4 linked regions of the Arabidopsis thaliana genome follow. The protein of the gene in region 1 interacts with the protein of each later gene in a pairwise test. Each region holds a gene or a part of one and is shown on either strand. Other genes may lie near its edges.

Evidence for each region.
Region 2: the proteins of AT2G35430 (region 1) and MC1 interact in a two-hybrid assay, tested with the Arabidopsis thaliana proteins (one large-scale study listed by BioGRID).
Region 3: the proteins of AT2G35430 (region 1) and BPC6 interact in a two-hybrid assay, tested with the Arabidopsis thaliana proteins (one large-scale study listed by BioGRID).
Region 4: the proteins of AT2G35430 (region 1) and AT5G41030 interact in a two-hybrid assay, tested with the Arabidopsis thaliana proteins (one large-scale study listed by BioGRID).

Annotation. Positions count from the first base shown.
Region 1 is NC_003071.7:14,899,696-14,904,531, forward strand, and holds AT2G35430 (Zinc finger C-x8-C-x5-C-x3-H type family protein), read right to left. Parts: upstream 2,691-4,836; 5' UTR 2,563-2,690; coding exon 2,049-2,562; intron 1,564-2,048; coding exon 1,319-1,563; 3' UTR 1,009-1,318; downstream 1-1,008. Other genes in the region: AT2G35420 (RING/U-box superfamily protein), read right to left, coding at 20-784; AT2G35450 (catalytic/ hydrolase), read right to left, coding at 3,506-3,662, 3,773-3,894, 3,985-4,042, 4,137-4,234, 4,323-4,400, 4,477-4,530, 4,616-4,715.
Region 2 is NC_003070.9:409,525-414,814, reverse strand, and holds MC1 (metacaspase 1), read right to left. Parts: upstream 3,152-5,290; 5' UTR 2,933-3,151; coding exon 2,557-2,932; intron 2,356-2,556; coding exon 2,025-2,355; intron 1,933-2,024; coding exon 1,812-1,932; intron 1,736-1,811; coding exon 1,520-1,735; intron 1,449-1,519; coding exon 1,389-1,448; 3' UTR 1,261-1,388; downstream 1-1,260. Other genes in the region: AT1G02180 (ferredoxin-like protein), read left to right, coding at 310-391, 598-1,196; AT1G02160 (Cox19 family protein (CHCH motif)), read right to left, coding at 3,454-3,638, 3,922-4,012; AT1G02150 (Tetratricopeptide repeat (TPR)-like superfamily protein), read right to left, coding at 4,382-5,290. UniProt on the Arabidopsis thaliana protein: Cysteine protease that cleaves specifically after arginine or lysine residues. Does not cleave caspase-specific substrates. Acts as a positive regulator of cell death.
Region 3 is NC_003076.8:16,997,661-17,003,489, reverse strand, and holds BPC6 (basic pentacysteine 6), read right to left. Parts: upstream 3,232-5,829; 5' UTR 3,064-3,231; intron 2,299-3,063; 5' UTR 2,204-2,298; coding exon 2,147-2,203; intron 1,996-2,146; coding exon 1,024-1,995; 3' UTR 883-1,023; downstream 1-882. Other genes in the region: AT5G42510 (Disease resistance-responsive (dirigent-like protein) family protein), read left to right, coding at 4,674-5,222. UniProt on the Arabidopsis thaliana protein: Transcriptional regulator that specifically binds to GA-rich elements (GAGA-repeats) present in regulatory sequences of genes involved in developmental processes.
Region 4 is NC_003076.8:16,426,122-16,430,652, reverse strand, and holds AT5G41030 (TCP family transcription factor), read right to left. Parts: upstream 1,948-4,531; coding exon 1,216-1,947; 3' UTR 974-1,215; downstream 1-973. Other genes in the region: AT5G41025 (uncharacterized protein), read right to left, coding at 3,218-3,463, 3,702-3,974; AT5G41020 (myb family transcription factor), read left to right, coding at 3,004-4,531.

The sequences.
Region 1 (4,836 bases):
GTAACAGAAATTCAGTAAACTATACTTCAATCCTGCTAATGTGTGATGAATCACCAAGCCATTGCCATCCTGCTCCTTCATACCGAGTAAGTTCGTCGAACGAGACACAGCTTCCTGTTTGGTAATGCCTTCTTTTGGACTTCACATTAGCATCCGTAGTCTTAACCATGAAATGTCCAGTAGAATGTGACCTCGAGAATCGCCAAGCCGAGGCTTCTATTAGCCTTTTGCTTGAACCAGCGGTTGGAGGATTTTCCTCATCATGGTTTATGTCCTGAATAGTAATTGTGACTGTGTTGTGGAATGATTCAAGCCTTCCAGATCCAATCATGCCAGGATCTAACTCACACCGGCAAACAGGACAAGTCTTGTGTAACTCAAACCAAAGATCAATGCAATTTGAATGAAAGGGATGACGACAAACCGTTATGAGCCTAACTGTATCTTCATCTGAAAACTCTGACAAGCAAATAGCGCATTCCGTCCCATGATTTTTCTTAGTTGCAGATGAATAGTGGAATACAGGAAAGGACCGGATGATAAACGGGTCGAGGCCAGTATTTTCAGGCGGAGTGGCCACATGGATTAGGTCACCGTAAGGTGTTCGTTGAAGGTTCCAAGTAGTAAATAATCGATTCAGAAGAAACTGCCATAAGAAAAGAGAGAAGAATCCGGCGAAAATTACAAAGAGAAGAACACCGGTCAAAACTACGGTGACAGGCATGGAAACACTAGGGAAAACAGCAGTAGCTGGTATTGAATCTATTGATGTTGTTGACGACATTTGAAGGTTGATGATTAGAGAAACCCCCAGATTCTACCAGTTTCGTAGATTGCTTGGGATATAAGAAAGGTTGTTCTTACAAATCCTTGTGAGAAAAGGAGTATTATTGTTCAAGTTAATAGAGAGAAATGAGGAGAATAAAGTGGCTATGTCTGAGAGACAGAAGTGGCTTTGCTTACCATTTTGAGCGAGTCTTTTGTGACAGTTAAAATCGTTGTCTTAATAATAAATCATTTTACTGTTAAAAATAACTCAAAACGAAAAATTAATATTGACCATGGAAATAAAGAAAAAGGTTTAGGTAGCAATGATGATCCGGTTTACAAGTACGCAACATTATTTAGTTCGGTTTGATCTTCTGCAAGATTAGATTTAGGATTGACAAAGAGAATAAACAAAAAGATGAGAGTTTTTGTCTTTGTTGAGTGAGTCACAATCTACAACCACAGAAGGGAGGAAGCTAATATGTCCACACAGTTACAAGTCTAAAAGAAGCTATACCTTGATCAACAAATCAGTGAAAATGCAGTGACTTTACTCAATATCGTCGATCCAATCACCATAAACACGACTGATTTTATCTGGTCCTTTCCATTTCCGTTGAGTTCTGACTCCGTTGGGTTTCTGCGTAACAGCACTAGATGTCCGTTGGGATGAGACTCCAGGAGAAACAAGGCTAGTCACTGTGTCTACTTGTCCTCTCTGCTTTGTGTCCAAAGTGGCGGATGTTCCGATCTTACATTCTCCTTCAACGAGTCCTCCGCCAAATGTATGCAACTCTGCAAAAGATACCATAAAGACTCAAACTTTTAGCTAGCGACGATTGAAACTTTCTGCATTTCCATAGCCATTAGGAACAAGCAGATCAAGAATTCTTTCCAATCAGAAACCAATTGACATCATCACGTAATGGCAATGTAGCAATAGGAAACATTTCAACAATCTCACTCGATCCACTTTAAGTCCATTAATAGACATTGTCACCAATCCATTCACCAAGCACGATTAACTAATTGGCACCCACAGTCCATATAAAGAATCCTCAAGGAAACCAATACCATTACATATACAATTCAACAGACTTAACTTAAGCTAATAAAGATAGTTCTAGTGTTCAAAGATGATCTCTTAGTCCAGAGAATTAGCATCCATTAACCTCTAGTGACACTCTAAACTCACAGTTCATCAAGCAACACCGATTAAAACCCATTTCTAAACTACATTCGTTGGGGTTACTAATAGATGAAAAAGGCCGTAGCTTTACCTGAAGGTCCATGAGCAAAATGGCAGTGAGAACCAAAAGGACAATAGCCAGTAGTCTGCCACTTATTGCAAATCCTTGTCTTCCAATTCGGAGACTTGAGAGTCTGAGCAACATTGCCACGAGGGCCTAAACTAACCGCAAAGCTTTCTCTGTTTCTTGAAGCCTCTGTCACCGTCTCCTGCCAATTGGGCGGCGGCGGCGGAGGAAGACGGAGCTCCTCCGCGCTGTGAGCAAAGTGGCAAGAGCTCGCGGAGTAGGGACAAGTTCCGGCGCGGAATTTGAAGCAAAGCTTCGTCTTGAAGAACGATTTCCCGATCTCGGAGGAGGAGGAAGATCGTGTCTTCTTGCTCGGAGACTCTGCGCCATCAGAGTTTATGGCCCAGACACGGCTGTAATCATCCTCAGTGGCCCAGACGGAACTGTCGCCGGAATTTGGAAAACAATTCTCAGGCGGAGGGTCGTGGGTGATTCTCACGTGAACTGCATCACTGCCGTAATCTCGCCGATGACTCATCACGTCGACCAAGAAACCCTAAACCCTAACCCAGGAGTAAAAGCAAGAGGAAGTGGAAAGAGATAGAGAGAGAAAGAGTAGATGAAGAGGAAGTGGAAAGTAAAGTAGAGTAAAGCCACTCAAAATCGTACTAGTAGTAGCATTTATATAAGGATCAAAATGTGATTAGCTATAAAATCAATAATGGTCACAGATTAAATAAAAGAAAGAAGTTTAACTAATGTTGATAATTAAGACGAGTAAAACAAAAGTTGTTAGGCAGAGAGGATTTCTATTTTTAAGAGCTTCACTTGCTCTACTAGTTTAGCAAGTTGTGTAAATTCACTTCACACTCTCTGAATCGATTCTACCATATGAAACCGCGCTTGTACATTTCAAGAATCCAACCCAAACAAGTTTTACAATGCTGACTAATCTCGATCACCACTTCTTTCAATTCTCAAAGAAAACTCAATTGTCTCTTTGAATTCCACATTGCTATCACTTGCACAACTCGATACTCCATCATGGCGATTTCGTAAATAGATGAAACTAACTTACACGGGTATAAATTATAACCGGAGACGCCAACTCTTACTTACTTGTAAAACAAGCTACTGGAGAGAAGCTTGATTCTTGAAACTTATCCCTCATAAATGTCCCAGCAAAGCCACCGATGATTATAAATTATCACCTCACCTCATTGAACACGGAAAGGGGATCCTAGCAGCTCACCCATTGTGGAAGAAATTTTCGATCAGAGCACATCAACATCCAGGCCCTCCATCATCTCACGATGAATCATTATGATATCAACACATAAGATTTTTGTTGATTTACTAAATTGGTATACATCTAGTGTTTGGTAATATATAGGCTAGAGTTAAGTATCTTTAATGATACAACTTCCATTGCTTGCTTCATTATCTCATCCGCATGCAACCTATTACTTCTGACAAGCCTCTCAAGGAAGAACCCATTGTCCAGGGAAGAGCTGCATCAGAGTCTTTCCCAGAATCCAGTCCATCTCAGAACTTGACAAGGATGCTTCTTTTGCAATGATAGTCACAGCTTCTTTAGCTTCTTTATATCCACATTCAAGAACAACAAATGGGAAGTCACTGCAGCAGATGGAAAACAGCCAATCCGTATATGATCATGTATTGTTAGTAGATATAGAAGGTTTTTTGTGGTTTTTAGTCGGGAAAGCGAGGTAAATAAGTATGTTTACCTGCCCCACATGACACGATTTGCCCCAAAATGGGACACAAGTTGAGATAGGAGAGGCGATAGGTCCTGATACGGGAAGCCGGTTCTTGAGATCCTGAATAGAGCACTGAATTTCACATATACCTGCTTGTTACAATATTCTTCCCTCAGACTCGTATAATCTATAATCTATGAGAATTCAGATTCTAAAAGTAATTTTTTTTTCTTTTTCACCTGTGGAAATCTAGACAGCTTCATGAGTTGAGAATAAGCAAGCTTTGCCTCACCACTTCTGCAGGTTGTTGAAACCATGAATATTAGTACTACATTCTATAGGAATTTCAGGGGACGGGATTATTTTTCACAAAAAGCAAAGAACAGCTCACTCTGGTACTTTGCAGAATCCAGCGTGATCTAGTAAAACAGTTGTCTTTGGAAATTCTGTGCAAAGTTCCTCAATTTCTGCAATGTGAAGATCTAGACCCTGAATAAAGAAAACAAGATTCTTAACGAAAGAACTTCGCGTAAACCACACAACTTTGGAGACCACAAAGGTGAAAATACTACCAGACCTTCATGCACATGAAGCCAACAGGCACACAAAGCTCCCCTGCTTTAGAGAACAAGGCTTTACCAACAGCATTTGTCATCTGTGTTGAGTCATTGACAATCAACAGAATACGGTGGAAACTTGATCTAAGGTCATTGGAATGGTTAAACTGTTACCTTCTGACCCGATGGCCACAAGTAGGGATTAAACCGAACAGCACGATAATTACTCTACAAAAAAAGATTTAAGTACTCTCAGAAATGAGATGCATATATAATATTTGGAGATGCTTTGAGTAACAGTGAAAGGGAAGACCTCTAAAACAAGATTCTCAAGGTGCGTAATTCCACTGCCATCTTCTGCAGGATTAGCAAGGCAACAACCGACAAACTTTGATGGGTATCTCTTCAGAACACTGTCAATAAGAAACTCAAAAATCATCTTCAAAAGTAACTTGAATTAAATCGCTGATATTGCAGACTTGATTGGAGAATCACTTGAAAACTTTTAATTTCACGCAGAACCAAGACCAACCT
Region 2 (5,290 bases), on another chromosome or scaffold:
CCCAACGCCGCCCATTTAATGAAGTAAATGAAATTCAAGTCACGTACTTTCCTTCTTTCTTCATTCAATTTCAATGGTTGAGAGCCCAACATCAAATCAAAGCCCAATAACCAAAATGCCTGGTTTTTTTCTTCTCAATAATAGAAATAATGCAACACATTTTTCATTTATTCAGGGACCAGTCAACATCTCCATCAAGCTCATCTCCTTTCAAAAACTTTCTCCTTTTCTGTTTTTTGTTTTTCTCGATTTTTCGAAAATCCGCCAGCTCGAGCTATTACGCTGGGAATTCAGAGGATAAAACACGATATGAAGAACGAAATCAGCATTTTGGAGTTGATTTTACTGTTTCTGTCACTCTCATCAGTGCTAGCTAGCTCCAAATTGCACGGTAACTCCTTGCTTTATCCCCTCATAACATATGCGAATATAGACTTGGATTTCTCGTTCAGCATTTGGCCAGGCTTTATTTTGAATTTACAGCCACTCCCTCTGATTTAATCTCGAGTTCGCTTTCTTTAGTCAGAACCAGATTCGACAGTTTATATTATGTTGATTCGTTTTAGGCGGACTAAGTGTTAGTTAGAATGGTTGCAGGAAACTCAGCTCATGAAATGGTGAGCATCTTGAACCAGAACAGAACAGCTCGGAAACTAGGCAAACTAAATGAGAGTCCCGGTCTTGGCTGCATGGCCCTCCAGTATGTTGAGCTCTGCGAGGGGAATTGCAATGTCAACAACACTCTCAGCTGTGAACACCCTGAAGACGACTTCACTCAGGTGTTTGCCCCAAACTGTGGTGTAGAACTCCCCACTTTTGGTACCATAACTGGCCATATCCTCGGCTGCAGCTCTAAGTATGCAGCACCAGAAGTCGCTTTCTCAGACATTCTCTTTAGAGATAGCAGTGCGTTGTCGGTGCTCAGAAACAGGTCGCATACCGAGGTTGGAGTGGGAATGGCTAGGTTGCATAAAGGTACCTTCTTTTGGTGTCTTCTCTTTAGCGATGGTGTGAAAAACTCCTCCTTTGTACTGGAAGATAACGGCCGGGGTATCAAACAAAGAACAGGCTGCTACAGCGGAAGTGCTTTTCCTTGCAGCAGCAACGCACACATGATTTGTATGCGCCTTCTGAACAGCTTTCTGGGACTTCTCTTCTCTTCCTTCTGTCTATTCGAGAAACACCTTAAATTTTGATTCTGAAAGGCAAACCATTTGCTGCTTGTTTGTAAAGACTAAAGAATAGATGGCACATTTTGTTATCGAATCACCAAATCAATGTTTTCCTTTATTCTTTTGAAAGAAAAATAAAAATAAGAAACAAAAGGTGGTTATATGGACGGATTCTCAAATCACACTCGCTATACATAAAAAGTGACTTGTCCTTTACTAGAGAGTGAAAGGCTTTGCATAGACATCGAATGTTTGGCAAGCAGTCAGTTGAGGCTCCTGTCAAAAAACAGATTTAAGAAAACATTTATCGATCTGTATCAACACAAGAGAGCAAGAAAGAATTTTACCTGTCTTAATCCCCCAATCGCACTTCCCCCTGTCAGAAGCATGCTCAGCACAGTCGTCACAACTCCACCACTACCACCACCATCATTCCCTGTATTCCTTATTGTGGTGCGCATAGAATTCAGAAGGCTTCCATAGGTTGTGCCTTGTGCGCTGCGTTCAATTGCTTGAATAAAACAGAAAGTCATAGCACCCGTAGACGTGATCTTCGACAGCGCCTGTGTATGTGTTTTAATCATGAGAGGAGGAACCAACTACAACAGCAAGACGTATGATTAGAGTCGTTCTACTTACTGATGTGTCGGCCGAAGTCTGATCATCATCACATCCACTAATTGAAATGGCTTCTCCACCAGCAGTTCCTTTCCACAAACCTGACCTAGGCCGATGATCCTCCCACACATACTGCCCAGCTCTGTTTCAATTAAAAAAAAAAATGGATGTATGTTAAATATAACGAGAGAGGTAAGCAACATCCCTTTTAGAAGCGGTTGAGGGACTAATAACCTGTTCATTCTGCATAGGAAGGGTAAATCCAGAACGGTACCACTATGGCAAGCATCGATAATTGAATGGAGCTTGACACCATGTGGAAGAGGGCGTACAATGGTTGCGTTGATCTCATCGTCTACAATCATCCCCTGAGTTTCAAAATCCAGAGGACAGAGTGTTTCATCATAGCCATCAACTTCATCACCGTTGTAGTTTCTTTGACGCGAACCATGACCAGAGTAGTGGAAGACAAGTGAGTCGCCTGCTGTGCATCCCTGTACGAGCCAATACAATGCCATCCTCATGTTTTGCTTGGTCGGGATACGATATGGATCAGTTTCTTCCTCTGAGAATGAAAACCATCCATGATGAACAATTAGTTAGTCAGCTATGGAATGCAACACATTTTTATCAAAGTGGTTCGAAATGGTAACTTGGAATGTGTGTTTATCAGATTGAAGAGGCCAAGGAAAATTGTATTCAAAATCCAAGGAATAGTAGTATAGTAGCAAACATAGGCATTTGAAAAGATAGAAATACTCTGTACCGGTAAGCATGAGAATTGAATCTGGGGAGAATTTGAATTTGTTGATGAGAAGGTGACGCATGCACTTGGCGTCGTTGATGCAGCCTTTGAGCTCGTGGCGAGAGAAACGATACGAGATGCCACAGATCACGGCCCTCTTCCTGCCATGGGGGTGAGGCAGCTGACCGGGAGGCGCGTGGATTTGGGGAGGCGGAGAAGGGGCGGAGGAAGGTTGCGGAGGAGGGGCGGTGCGAGGGTCGGCGATATGAGTAACAGCCTGGCAGAGAGCGCAGCGAATAGATCGGGCGCCGGATGGGAGCTGGAGAGGCGTCCGGCAACCGGAGCAATTCACCAGCATCGGAGGAGCGTAGATGCTTGAGGGAGGTGGCGGGTACATTATTATTCTCGGAAGGGAGGGAATCAGATGAAGACGAATCGGATTACCAAATCGCGTGAGGAAGACGACGATGCAGTCAATGGCGCACGTAAAGAATCGTCGTCAAATGCGATTAAAGGCATCTGACTTTTCTTTGGCAGCTCACCGAACCTTTTACTTTCGAAAGCCCATATAACAGTTTTTAAGCCCAATTCACTACTGGAATCCCTGGATCTGTTTCAGACGCCAGAGTAAAGTAAAAGAATGAGAGAAAGATCTTCTTATTCAATATGGTGGTGGAGAAGCTCTAACTCTCTAACTAAATAAATAACCACTTGCTCTCAAAGTTTAACAGGTATACACCATGATTCACCAATGGGGAGTAAAAAGTAACATTAACAAACACTTTCCACTTGTTTACTTAGATAGATCATACAAACACAGCCATTGCAAATGAAACAACAGGATACTACTAGCTAGGTGATGTTCTGAGACATCATTGGTATTCGAGGATCTGCATTCACGAGAACAACGACCGTGTCTTATTGCGTTCCAGTCGAGCTTCCCTCTGAGAAACAAAATAACACATAGGTAAAGCAGCAAAGAAGTTGGAAACGCCAAAAGCCTAAATATTCATTCACAACAACAACCTCTTTCTTCTTGCATTCCTTGTACACATCAAAATGATCCTGGCATTTACTCTTGTCTGATCCAAATTCTTCAAGACCTGATAAGAAATCAAGGGGTCAAGCTAAGAGGCATAACTAATGAAAACGGAAACACATAAACAATCAGGAATCAAACCCGACGTTATCAATTGATGGGACCTAAATCGAATCACTGACATGGGATTCAACCCACTAATCTAATCACCTTGAGGAAGCATAATGAAATAGATGAGATCTAATCAATGCTAATTCGTTATGGAACTTGACAGTACTGAAGATAACATGTCAAATCCTATCCTCGAAGAAACAATCACAAAGGGTGAGATCAGGAGCATGACTCACATTTGAGAGAAGCAGAGTACTGAAGATAACATGGAGAATCAGATATCCGAGCCGCGCTAGGGTACGCCGCCGCCGCGCCTTTCGTCGACATTTCCCGATCACCGTCTCTCTCTCTCACAACCGATTCCGCGAAGATATCTTAATGGAGATGGGCCTTTGAGACTCTCAGACTTATATATTCAATATCGGGCCTTTTATCCGTCCGGCCCAAAATAAAAGAGCACAACCTAACCTCTCCAATATTAGTCTTAACAAGTAACAACAATCAAACAAGAGAACAAAGGCTAATCCAGTTCCCTAAGCAACACTAATTCCAAATAGCTGTCACAAAAAGGGACACAGCTCTTACATTCATGTTTCACTAGGCAGTCTCTTGTGTACATTATACATATTTCGCATTTCCTCAGTTGACTCCGGTTACAAGATTCGTTTTTTAAAGCAAAGATCTAGGACTATCAGATTACAAATCATCTTGTAGCTGTGTTAGAAGCGCATCGGTCTCATGGGCATCGATTTCACTGTTGTTTACTGTTCTGTTTTCGTCCACATCAATAAGAGCTAGGTAAGATTTGTCTTCAAGATCCCCCGACTGCCTTAACAATTCCAAAACGGCCTCTTTACTGGTAACATCCGATTCCTCTTCACAGAGCTTGAAGAAACCAGACAGCATCAACACCTTGGGCCTCCAATTGCTGGACCCTTCAGCCGAAAAAGCATTTCTAAGACAAGTCAAAGCCTCTGAAATACACCTCTTTCTGGTATGACCAACAGCTAGAATCTCCCACGTACTTGAACTTGGTTTTCCTCCCATTTCAACCATGTGGTCGAACAACCCCTCAGCTGTCTCTAGTTGGTCGTTTTTGACATACGCATTCATCAGAAGATTTGGTATCCTGGGGTCATAAGAAGACTTGACTGGAAGCCATTCCTCATATACCTTCTCGGCCCCTTCAATGTCTCCCATCCTCACCAGCGACGAGACCAAGGCATGGTAACCCAAATTGGGAATGCTCGGGACAACAGATTTGTAGACGTGCCAGACTCGGTACAGCTCTTTCTTGTTACCAAGGCTGCCATACAAACTCAAGAGGTAGTGATACGGAATGCGATTACGACCAGTAATCCTTGCTTCAACCTTCCTCAGTGCATCTTCGGCTTTCTCAGTTTCACCCATCTTTATGTACATTGTGGCCATTGTGCTAAACGTGGTCCAGTTGGGATAAATGGAAACATCCGATTTCATCTGCTGATACACTAGTTCCATTTTCTCAACTGATCCTAAGGAGCCGCAAGAGGAGAGCCAGATGTTGTAGGAGTAAATGTCGAGACGTATATCTTTCTGCTTCATCTCGAAGACCATAGCGTCGAC
Region 3 (5,829 bases), on another chromosome or scaffold:
TACACTCTTAGTGTCTAAATCATTTGTAATATTATTTGTCAATTTCATTTGTTTGATGTTTTGCTTGTACTCACAACATTTATTGTTATGTAGTTGTCATCACGCCAACAAAACTTGGAGTAGACGCAGCACACTACTAATAATAGATTGTTCTAAGTTGTATCAAAAGAAAATATAATGAATTTTTAAATGCTACTTATCTGCGTGAAATTTGAGTTAATTATATATAAATAATTTACACTTATTATTTATATCAATTTTTAAAATCAATTATATATAAATAATTTACACTTAAATTCAGCATTTTCATATTCTGTAGATAGAAACTTGTTTCATTTAATTTGGGCATAGAATTGTTTTTCATATTTTCTTATTATATTAGTTATTTTATTTTTCAAAATTAATATATTAAATAAAAACGAAAACAAAAATTATTTGACTCTCAATTATATTATTATAAATTTAAACATCAAAAGTATTTATACTAATAAATACATCATAGCTTTTAATGTTTTTATCATTTTATTTTTTGTTTATACAGTATTTAGATTATTTTAGTGCGACTGATTGGTTTATTTTTAATGAAACATAATGTTTTTTCTTAATAAATAAAATATATAGGTCCCACAAAAAAAGCAGAGAAAACTCTCGAGTCGTATATCACAGTGAAATCTCCCTAGACTAATCATTTGTGATTTCTTTATCAAAAATTCCAAATTGATAGATATGATCAGATCCATTTGTTCACACAGTCCGTAAGTTGTAGGTGAGTGAAATAGCTCACATTCCATCCATGATTCAGTATCAGTTCAAAAGAAAAAGTTGTCTAGTTTTTCTTTGTTGATGTGAACAAAAAATAATAATTCTACGGTTTGTGATGTTACTAAAAATTTTCGAATTATATAATACAACATAACATTGGCTCCACATACAATTCTTTTCCTCTCGAGTTTATTTGAATTTAGTACACATGATTTAAAATCAGATAATGTCGTAAGAACAACTCACACCTAAATGCACATATCATTTAATCGTAATGTAGCGGTTTGTACCGTGCTTTGCCCAATGGTCCTTCAGATCGACCGGGTTTGAAAGATCATGATGCCCTTCTGCAGCAAGCCGGCTTAGAAGCTTGTTGAACGCGCTTCCGCTCATTTTCCGTCCACCAACTCGAGCATGCCTTTTGTTGGGCAGTGCAGGTAAAGGATACATTGATAGTGTAGTTGTGCAACACGATGATTGCCAACCTCCATTTCCCCATTTGTAGCACTGTCTGAGAACTCCTGTACATGAACATACAGGTGGTGGCATCGTTGTCTCGTCGTAAACCACTTGGTTCAGCCCCACCATTTCTTGACTTTTCCAGTCAGATTTTGATCCTATTAAGATATGCTTACTTGAATCTTCGTCTGTGTAGTCATGGGTCGTCTTTACAAACATTATCTTGTTTAAGTCGTCCTCGCTCTCTTTCTTAACCTTCCTCTGATTTTTTGGCCCTCTCTTATTAGCAGCAGTTTGTGTTGTCGCCTTTGGGTTCACTCTTTTACCACGTTTTGGTTTGGCAGATTCCAAGGTGGATCCGGCAGGTGGTGATGTTGGGAGACCATCATTTGGCTCCATCTCTCTGGTTTCATATGCATTTTCAGTCAACTGAGGTATGTGATGTTGTTGATGATGATGATGCATGTGCGGATGGTGCAAGTGTTTTACACCACGTGATATTTGACATCCTGGTGGACATGCTGACATATTGGCAGCAGGAGCAGTAACCATAGAGTTCTCACGGTATTGGAGTGCTGTAAGAGCACTGTCTCTCTCCATTATCGCATTGTTGCGCTCAGCAATGGCGGTGTCCCTCTGAAGAAACGCCATGTCCCTTTCAGCTACTGCTGCTTTTTTCTCTGATATCGCCAGATTTCTCTCCTGAATCGCTGCATCGCGCTCTGCTATTATCGACATCACTTGTTTCATCGACGGCTGATGCTGCATCAACCACTGTTTTACATCATGAACAAATCATACATTCCCATCAAAAACAGTCTCAAATCTGAGGTGTTTAGCCGCAAGCATGATGAACACCCATAAGATGTATATATAGAGCAGAGAAAGGAAAACAACTGATTTAGCTTTGGGATTGTCAAGGTACCTGGCCCTGAACTGCTGCTTTATGCCGACCATTCTCACGATGCCCACCATCATCCATTTGAGATATTAAAAGTCTTGACGGTACAGCTTCTACAATAACTGAACAAGCTAACGGAATATCAAAATAAAAGACTGGTCCATCTTTTAATCCTCCTGCACATAGCCAATCATTAAACAGTGTCAAAAAAGACCATTTCATAAATAAACTACTATGAAGCAAAATAGCCAATCACCAAAGCATTGCTAGTATTAGTGAACATACATAAACGACTATGAAGCAAAAAAAAAATCTATACTTGAGTTCCAGAATATGATTCAGCAGAGACAAAGCAAACAATTGTTTGTCCATCTATGAGTATTTTCTGAAAAACTTTCAACAAAAACACTCAAACTCAGATGACTAAAAATAGCAACATTAATATCGAAATGGTACCATTTTGTTTCAGGATTTGCACATCAATCAATCGATTCTAACCAATACACATAAACTCTGTGAGATATCAAACTCAGCTAAAAGAAACACAGTATCATCGATTATAGTCATAGTGATAATCATCAAAAGCTAATTTGGGAAAACACAAAACACAAAATCGCCTACTCATGATGATCAATAAGAACTCTAAAACCACAAAATCTGGTTCGATACACTATCCAAAAGAAAGAAACAATCCAAAAATTCTCCAACTCTAATGTCGATAGAAACAGGCAAAGCTCATCAAAATTAGGATTTAGCCATTTGGAATCAAATCGAGTAACTTAATTCAGCAATTAGGATTCAGCCAAGCCCTAATTACTTCAAACGAGCTTCGATTAATAGGAAATGAGCTTAGAAGCTTGGTAAGAACTTGGAGAAAAAAGTGAAATGAAAAGGGGCGGCGAAGAGAGAAAGAAGATGGTGGAAGAGTAAGCGAAGTTTACCGGGGGAAGTAGAGAGAGAACCCGCCGGAGAGATACAGAGAGACGACGACGGTGGTGGTGGTGGTGGTGATGACAAGCAGAGCAGAGAGATTGAAACCCTAATTGAACTGCGAGAGAATAAAGAAAAATATCTTTGTGGAAGAAACAGATCGGGGAAGAGGAAGATGGATTTCTTTCTTTCTAACTGTTTTTACGTTTGGTAAAAACAAATTTTTAAACTTTTAACTCTTTTTTCACCCATTTGGTAAGTGTTTTACTGTTGCACTGTTGTTGTTGAAAATTAGGTGACCAATTGGAAAAAAATAAAATAAAAAATGTCTATTAGTATTATTATGTAATTACCAGTTAGATTATTTTTATATAAAATTTAAAGTGTGGCTGGTGTGGTCATTACAGTTTATATATAATTTAACATTTTACGATCAATATTAATATGGCCTTTTTGAAACTTCAGTCTCGGTCGCCAAATATCAATAAAACGTTACCTTTCCTCAGAACAATCGACTCTATAATTAGATAGTAGCACATTTGTTATGAGATTTTATCACAAACAACATTTGATGCCCCAACGTACTTAACTTTGACGCCATGTGAACGTGGATTCCTGCAGCCTAAAACAGAGCACCTACTTGATCTGAATAATAGATTTGTTTTATTAATAGTAGCCTTAAGACATTGATACTTTTTAACTCGACAGAGGATTCTCGTCCCCATGCATTTCTCATTAGGCATGACCCAAGAGTTATTCTCACAACGAGAAAGCTCTCGTGCATTCCAAGTAAACTGAGAAGACGAAAGATGAATGTTATTCCAAACAATTGATATAATATATTTTAAGTTTAATTGAGTAACTAGCACAACTGTACTTCAAAATTATGCAACTACCAAAATTCTTGATCGTTGTTTTATTTTTTGAAAAAAAAAAATTATGCAACTACCAATTTTGTTTTATAACAAAATTCAAGGAGTTTCTAAAATAAGTTATATACTTTTTGCAAGAAAACTAAAGTCTTGTCATTGATCATTGTTTCAAATATCATGTATTGTTTTTAATCTATTTTATGATTTAACTCTAGCCCGTCGCACCTATGCCCTCCTCTTTTGGGACTCAGTGGATGATTAATTCAGTGTACAAAATATAAGATCATTAATTAGAGAACACTGGTATTGAGTTTGGAACCATATGTATATATTAATATATATCTTAGGTACATATATACAGATTGACAATCCTAAATTTAAACATCAATGTCTATGTACATCTTTGATCTTAATTTCAATTATATGCATCTACTATATATCTTTCTTTATATATTTATATGTAGTGTATCACAATGCAGAATCTTGTTTTATTCTTATTTGTTTTGTTTTTCTTTCGTCGTGCATCCTTATATATTTGCCAGTTTATATCATGATTCGTACAAGTGGAAATATCTAGTTGTTTATAAATCGAACCACCTAGTTTACTTCCACGTCAACGGACATGTTGTTGTCACCAATCGAGAAACGACATATTCAAATGTTTTATGAGCCAACAATTGCGTAACGATCATGTTTTGTGTATATATATAAATCACATTTTCACATTTCCATAGCTACAAACAACGAACATGGCTAAACGTTTTCTGCTTCTTCTTCCTCTTTTGTCATCTATTCTTCTTCTTGCCGTGTCCGTCACAGCTTACTCCACAACAACGCCGTATCAAGGCTACAAGCCGGAGAAATTCACCCACCTCCACTTCTACTTCCATGACGTCATCTCCGGTGACAAACCTACCGCCGTCAAAGTTGCCGAAGCCCGCCCAACAACCACCCTCAACGTCAAGTTTGGCGTGATTATGATCGCTGATGATCCGTTGACCGAAGGACCAGACCCGAGCTCAAAGGAAGTGGGAAGAGCTCAGGGGATGTACGCATCAACAGCCATGAAGGACATAGTCTTCACAATGGTCTTTAACTATGTTTTCACGGCAGGAGAGTTTAATGGAAGCACCATCGCGGTGTATGGACGGAATGATATATTTTCGAAGGTGAGAGAGTTGCCGATTATTGGAGGAACTGGTGCTTTCAGGTTTGCTAGAGGCTATGCACTGCCCAAGACTTATAAGATTGTTGGTCTAGATGCCGTGGTCGAGTATAATGTCTTCATTTGGCATTAATCATTTGCATATTGTCTAATGTCTTTCCGAAACAAATTGTTTCACTTTGGTTTTCTTATATTGTTTTTGGTTCTTTTATATATATATATATATATATATATATAACAATTGTTCTGTTTTTGTTGTGGATCGTTTAAAGTTCAAAAGGTGTTGTTTGTCTGAATATTTTGAGAATTAAGATGTCAGATGTGTGAGAGTCTCGTAGTTACTTGAAATTTCTGTTCGTACTAATTAAGGGTGAGTATGGGGCAAGTAAGATGTAGATATTGGTGATAGAGTAAATATATGGTTGAAATGTCCTAAATTCATTAACATTTATTACTTTAATTAAATTGTTATATCGAGATTTGGCATTCGTATAATATAAGTGGTTATAATTTTTTTGGTGAGGTGTGCATAGGGTATATCTAGAGGAAAGGAAAATGTACACAGGAATAGTAAGATGAAGATATATAATATATCATTATATGCCCCCTCAAGATGAACCACCATTTGTGAGTCTAATCTTGTCAAAGAGAAGATGAAACTGCGTCCGTGGTAAAGCCTTGGTAAGAACATCTTTAAATCTGAACCTTGCGGAGATAAGACTAAACCCAACACTGAGAAG
Region 4 (4,531 bases), on another chromosome or scaffold:
CTTCTTCTAATTAGTATGCCATTACTTAATTTCAAAAAAGCATGCAAAAAATATATAGAAGGTTTCCACATGAATTATATTAAAGAGTTATTTCGAGGACTTTTCCTTTTTCGGTTAAAAGAGAGAGAAGAAGAAAATAGATTTTCCATTTATAATAGATATAAGTAGTTCAAATGATGTACGTACGTAGGTTAATTTCTTCCTTGTTTGTGTCTTCTTGGATGGAGAAGGTTTAGGTTACCGAATCAAACGAGAAAGCGGGACCAAGGGAATCACATATCTCCCACCGCCAATTTAAAACGCATTTCTATATCTTTCTCTTCTATCTTCATATTAATTGAAGTCAACGTATTTGTATACTTGTCTTTATTTCTTTCTTTCTTTTGAAGCTTGACCAAGTTTCTTTTCTTTTTTGAACAAGAACTTCAAAATTCAAATCCACACTGCAAAACAGCTTCTCCATCCACATATAATCAGAAAGATTGAGTTTTAATAGTAATGTATATTTGTATTTTTGCATTTGTTATCAACTTTTTTTTAAAATACGGATGGACTTTTAGGCCCTAATCAAATGTTAATGATTTGAGAAGTTTGGTTTCAGATTAGTTCTAGATCGCATTCGAATATTTTTCGGCTTATACTGTCATTGAGGCCCATTTCATTGATTATGGGCTGTTGACACAATACAATAAGAACATCGTACAGTTTCACTGTTCTCGTGGAAGGACGCGGATTGTTTTTCACCCAAGAAAACGTAGCGTAGTCCAAATTCTATCAGCAAGCCAGCTTCTGGGCAAAGAAACAAGATGAATTTCTAACTAAGGCAAAAACTTTCCTTTGTACAACGAAACTCAATCATCAGAGTGTTTGCTTAATTATGCAGAGAAGCCTCCATTCAGTACAGTTTAAAGAGCAGAACTTACTTCTTAACTTTATAAAGTAATCAGTACATCAAAGCTATTGATTAAAGAAAGGTCGAGCAAAATAAACTATGAATGAGCACATTGAGATTTCAGCAAAACCATATTTCATCTTCTCACTTTATGTATGCACAATCTAAAGCAAACGCCAAAAAAGGTTTGAGCTTTAGGAACCATTGTTCTCTTGCTGATCGAAGTAAAATAAGCTATGAATAAGCTATCAAGTTTGAGATTTCACTAGCAATCACATTCTCGCTAAATATATCTAATTAAAAGCCATTTAAAGGTTTGAGCTTTATGAACCATTTTCCTCTGCACTCTGCTGCTGATCTTCATGTGAATGATGATGAAGAACCCTGAACTGTTCTTTACCCATTTGTTGAAAAACCTGTGGATTCAAAACCCCAACTTGAGACAGCCTTAATTCAAGTCCAGGCGTTTGATTATCTCCAAAACCAATCTCTGGAACACCATTGAAATCAAACCCAATTCCGTAATTCAGATCAAACCCTCCAATGGTCTGTCCTGTTTCATTTCTCCACAACCCATTTGCCTCCATTTGAGTCCTTGAAGCTTCTTCAACGCTATGACAAATCATCAAATCAGCCGTGAGAGGAGGTTGAGAAACAACAGACTCAGTGGGTTTGATACCATTTACAGTAGCAGAGAGTATCGATGGCTCAGCATGTTGAAGCAACCATTCAAGAGTCTCACCATCTGATTTGTGACCTAATTCTTTAGTCAATTGATAAATCCTTGCTGCACAGAGTGGAGGTAACCTAACTCTACGACCTCTTCCTTCAACTTTAAGGTGACGATCTTTGTTTGGTTTCTTCTTCTCCTTCTCATAAAGAATCTGAATTTCTTGGTCTTCCTCTTCATTCTCCTTCTTCTTCCTCTTTTCGCCGACCACAATGTCGAAACCTTTAACCTCTGTTTGTTTCCTCTTCTTGTCGTTGTCCTGATTCTGTCGTGATGGGTTTAAGAAACTTGGTAGATTTTGGTTCTTCTTGGGCTCCATGACCATGTCAAGGTGTGGGGACGTACTTCTCTCTCTCTCTCAGATTCAAGGTGGGGCGTGTGTTGTGACCTCTTGACCTAAGTAAAAAAAAAGGGTAACAACTTTTTATTATTTTCACGCATTATTTTATTTTTTTTACATAATTAGAAGTTCTATAATCACGAAATATTCTTACTTACCGAATGAATTCCAATCCAAAGAAAAAAAAAAAAAAAAAAAAATAAAAAAAAAAATTCCAATCCAAAGCTCAATCAAATCAACATGGCAACATCCATGAGAGTTAACAAGGGCAAAATTAAATAATATGAAAACATTAGAAAAATTTAGTTTTGAGCATAAATCACACATTAAAAAGAATTTATTTAAATCAAAAGAGGTTATCAACATCATTAAAAACTAAGTTTTACATTCTTTCATCACTTGATAATAAGGTCAAAACTCAAAACAAACCTTTGTGTTTATGTTTTTTTATATCAGTTTTCGATTATATATGTTTAGTATGTTCTTCAATTGCATCCCTTTGATGAAAACTAGCTTTGTCCCAAATGATCATGTAAGATCCAAACTCCACCACACAAAACATTGAAGTTAATCCAAGAAGATTCTACATTTTTAAATACTTTTCCCAAGGTCTCTTATATACTGATTTATTCTAGTAGTAATTATTTGATTTCTTTTTCTTCCAAATCATTTAGAAATTTCACAATATAACCACCAACTTTGTAAGTTGTAACATAAGTGATAGAAATTAGATCAAACTCTTGTTAAAACTTGATAACGTCAAGAGCAATACGTTGGGCCTAGTAGTACTCAAGCCCCAAATATGGGTAGTGGGTCATTGAAGACCCAAGTTCAAAGGAATTTTTTTTAACAAAAGTAATTAAATACCCTAATCATCTCAAATTCATGAAGGAAGCCGCCGTATCCAAAAGCTCCTTCACAATCAATCTCAGCATCGCTGTGTCTTAAAATCACTCAATCGAAATTCGGATTTAGATTTGAGCGAAAGTCGCGGCGGTTTTTGTGATTAGGGTTTCGTAACCGTGTCCGCCGGTATATGAGATGGCTGAGGAGAAGAAGAATAAGAAGAAAAAGAGTGACGCTAAGGTTGATTCTGAAGAAACCGGTGAAGAATTCATTTCCGAGCACAGTTCTATGAAGGATAAGGAAAAGAAGAGGAAGAAGAATAAGCGAGAGAATAAGGATGGTTTTACTGGAGAAGATATGGAGATAACTGGGCGTGAAAGTGAGAAACTAGGTGATGAGGTTTTTATAGTTAAGAAGAAGAAGAAGTCGAAGAAGCCAATAAGGATTGATTCTGAAGCTGTTGATGCTGTGAAGAAGAAATCGAAAAAGAGAAGTAAGGAGACAAAGGCTGATTCCGAAGCTGAGGATGATGGTGTGGAGAAGAAATCCAAGGAGAAAAGTAAGGAGACAAAGGTTGATTCTGAAGCTCATGATGGTGTGAAGAGGAAGAAGAAGAAGAGCAAGAAAGAATCTGGTGGTGATGTGATAGAAAATACTGAAAGCTCCAAAGTATCTGATAAGAAAAAGGGAAAAAGAAAGCGGGATGATACTGATTTGGGAGCTGAAGAAAACATAGACAAGGAGGTGAAGAGGAAGAACAACAAGAAGAAACCAAGTGTGGATTCAGATGTTGAAGATATCAATTTGGACTCTACAAATGATGGAAAGAAGAAAAGGAAGAAAAAGAAACAAAGTGAGGATTCAGAGACTGAAGAAAACGGCTTGAACTCTACCAAAGACGCAAAGAAGAGAAGGAAGAAGAAGAAGAAGAAGAAGCAAAGTGAAGTCTCTGAGGCTGAAGAAAAGTCTGATAAAAGTGATGAAGACTTGACCACCCCATCTACATCAAGTAAAAGGGTGAAGTTTTCTGACCAAGTGGAGTTTTTTCCTAGTGATGATGATGAAGGAACGGAAGATGATGATGAAGAAGAAGTTAAGGTGGTGAGGGGTAAGCGGTTTACAAAAGAAGAAGATGAGATGGTAAAGAATGCTGTATTAGAATACATTGATAACCATGCTTTAGGAGATGAGGGGATAAAGATGGTTATGGAATGCAAGGCATACCCACAACTTAAAGGCTGTTGGAAAGAAATTACATCTGCTTTACCTTGGAGGACTTATAATAGTGTGTATCATCGTGCACATACTATATTTGAAGCAGGATCTCAGGGGATATGGACGAAAGAGGATATTGAACTCGTTATGGAGTTTCAAAAGACACACGGGAATGATTGGAAAACACTTGCAGATGCAATGGGTAAGCACAGGAAGCATGTGAAAGACGCTTGGAGGAGAGGAAGATTGGCAGGTAAGAAGAAAGGACATTGGATGAGGGAGGAGTATCAAAACCTCTTTGACCTTGTCAACAAAGACCTTAGAATGAAAGCATTCAAAGAGAAACACTCAAAACATGGTATGCTCAAAGATAACATCCCTTGGATGGCTATAAGCGACGTACTTGAAACACGGGACCACGTGACTTGCTGCCAGAAATGGTATGAGCAGTTGATATCACCAATGGTAGCAAAGGGAATGTGGGCTAACGTTGATGACTATAGGCTCT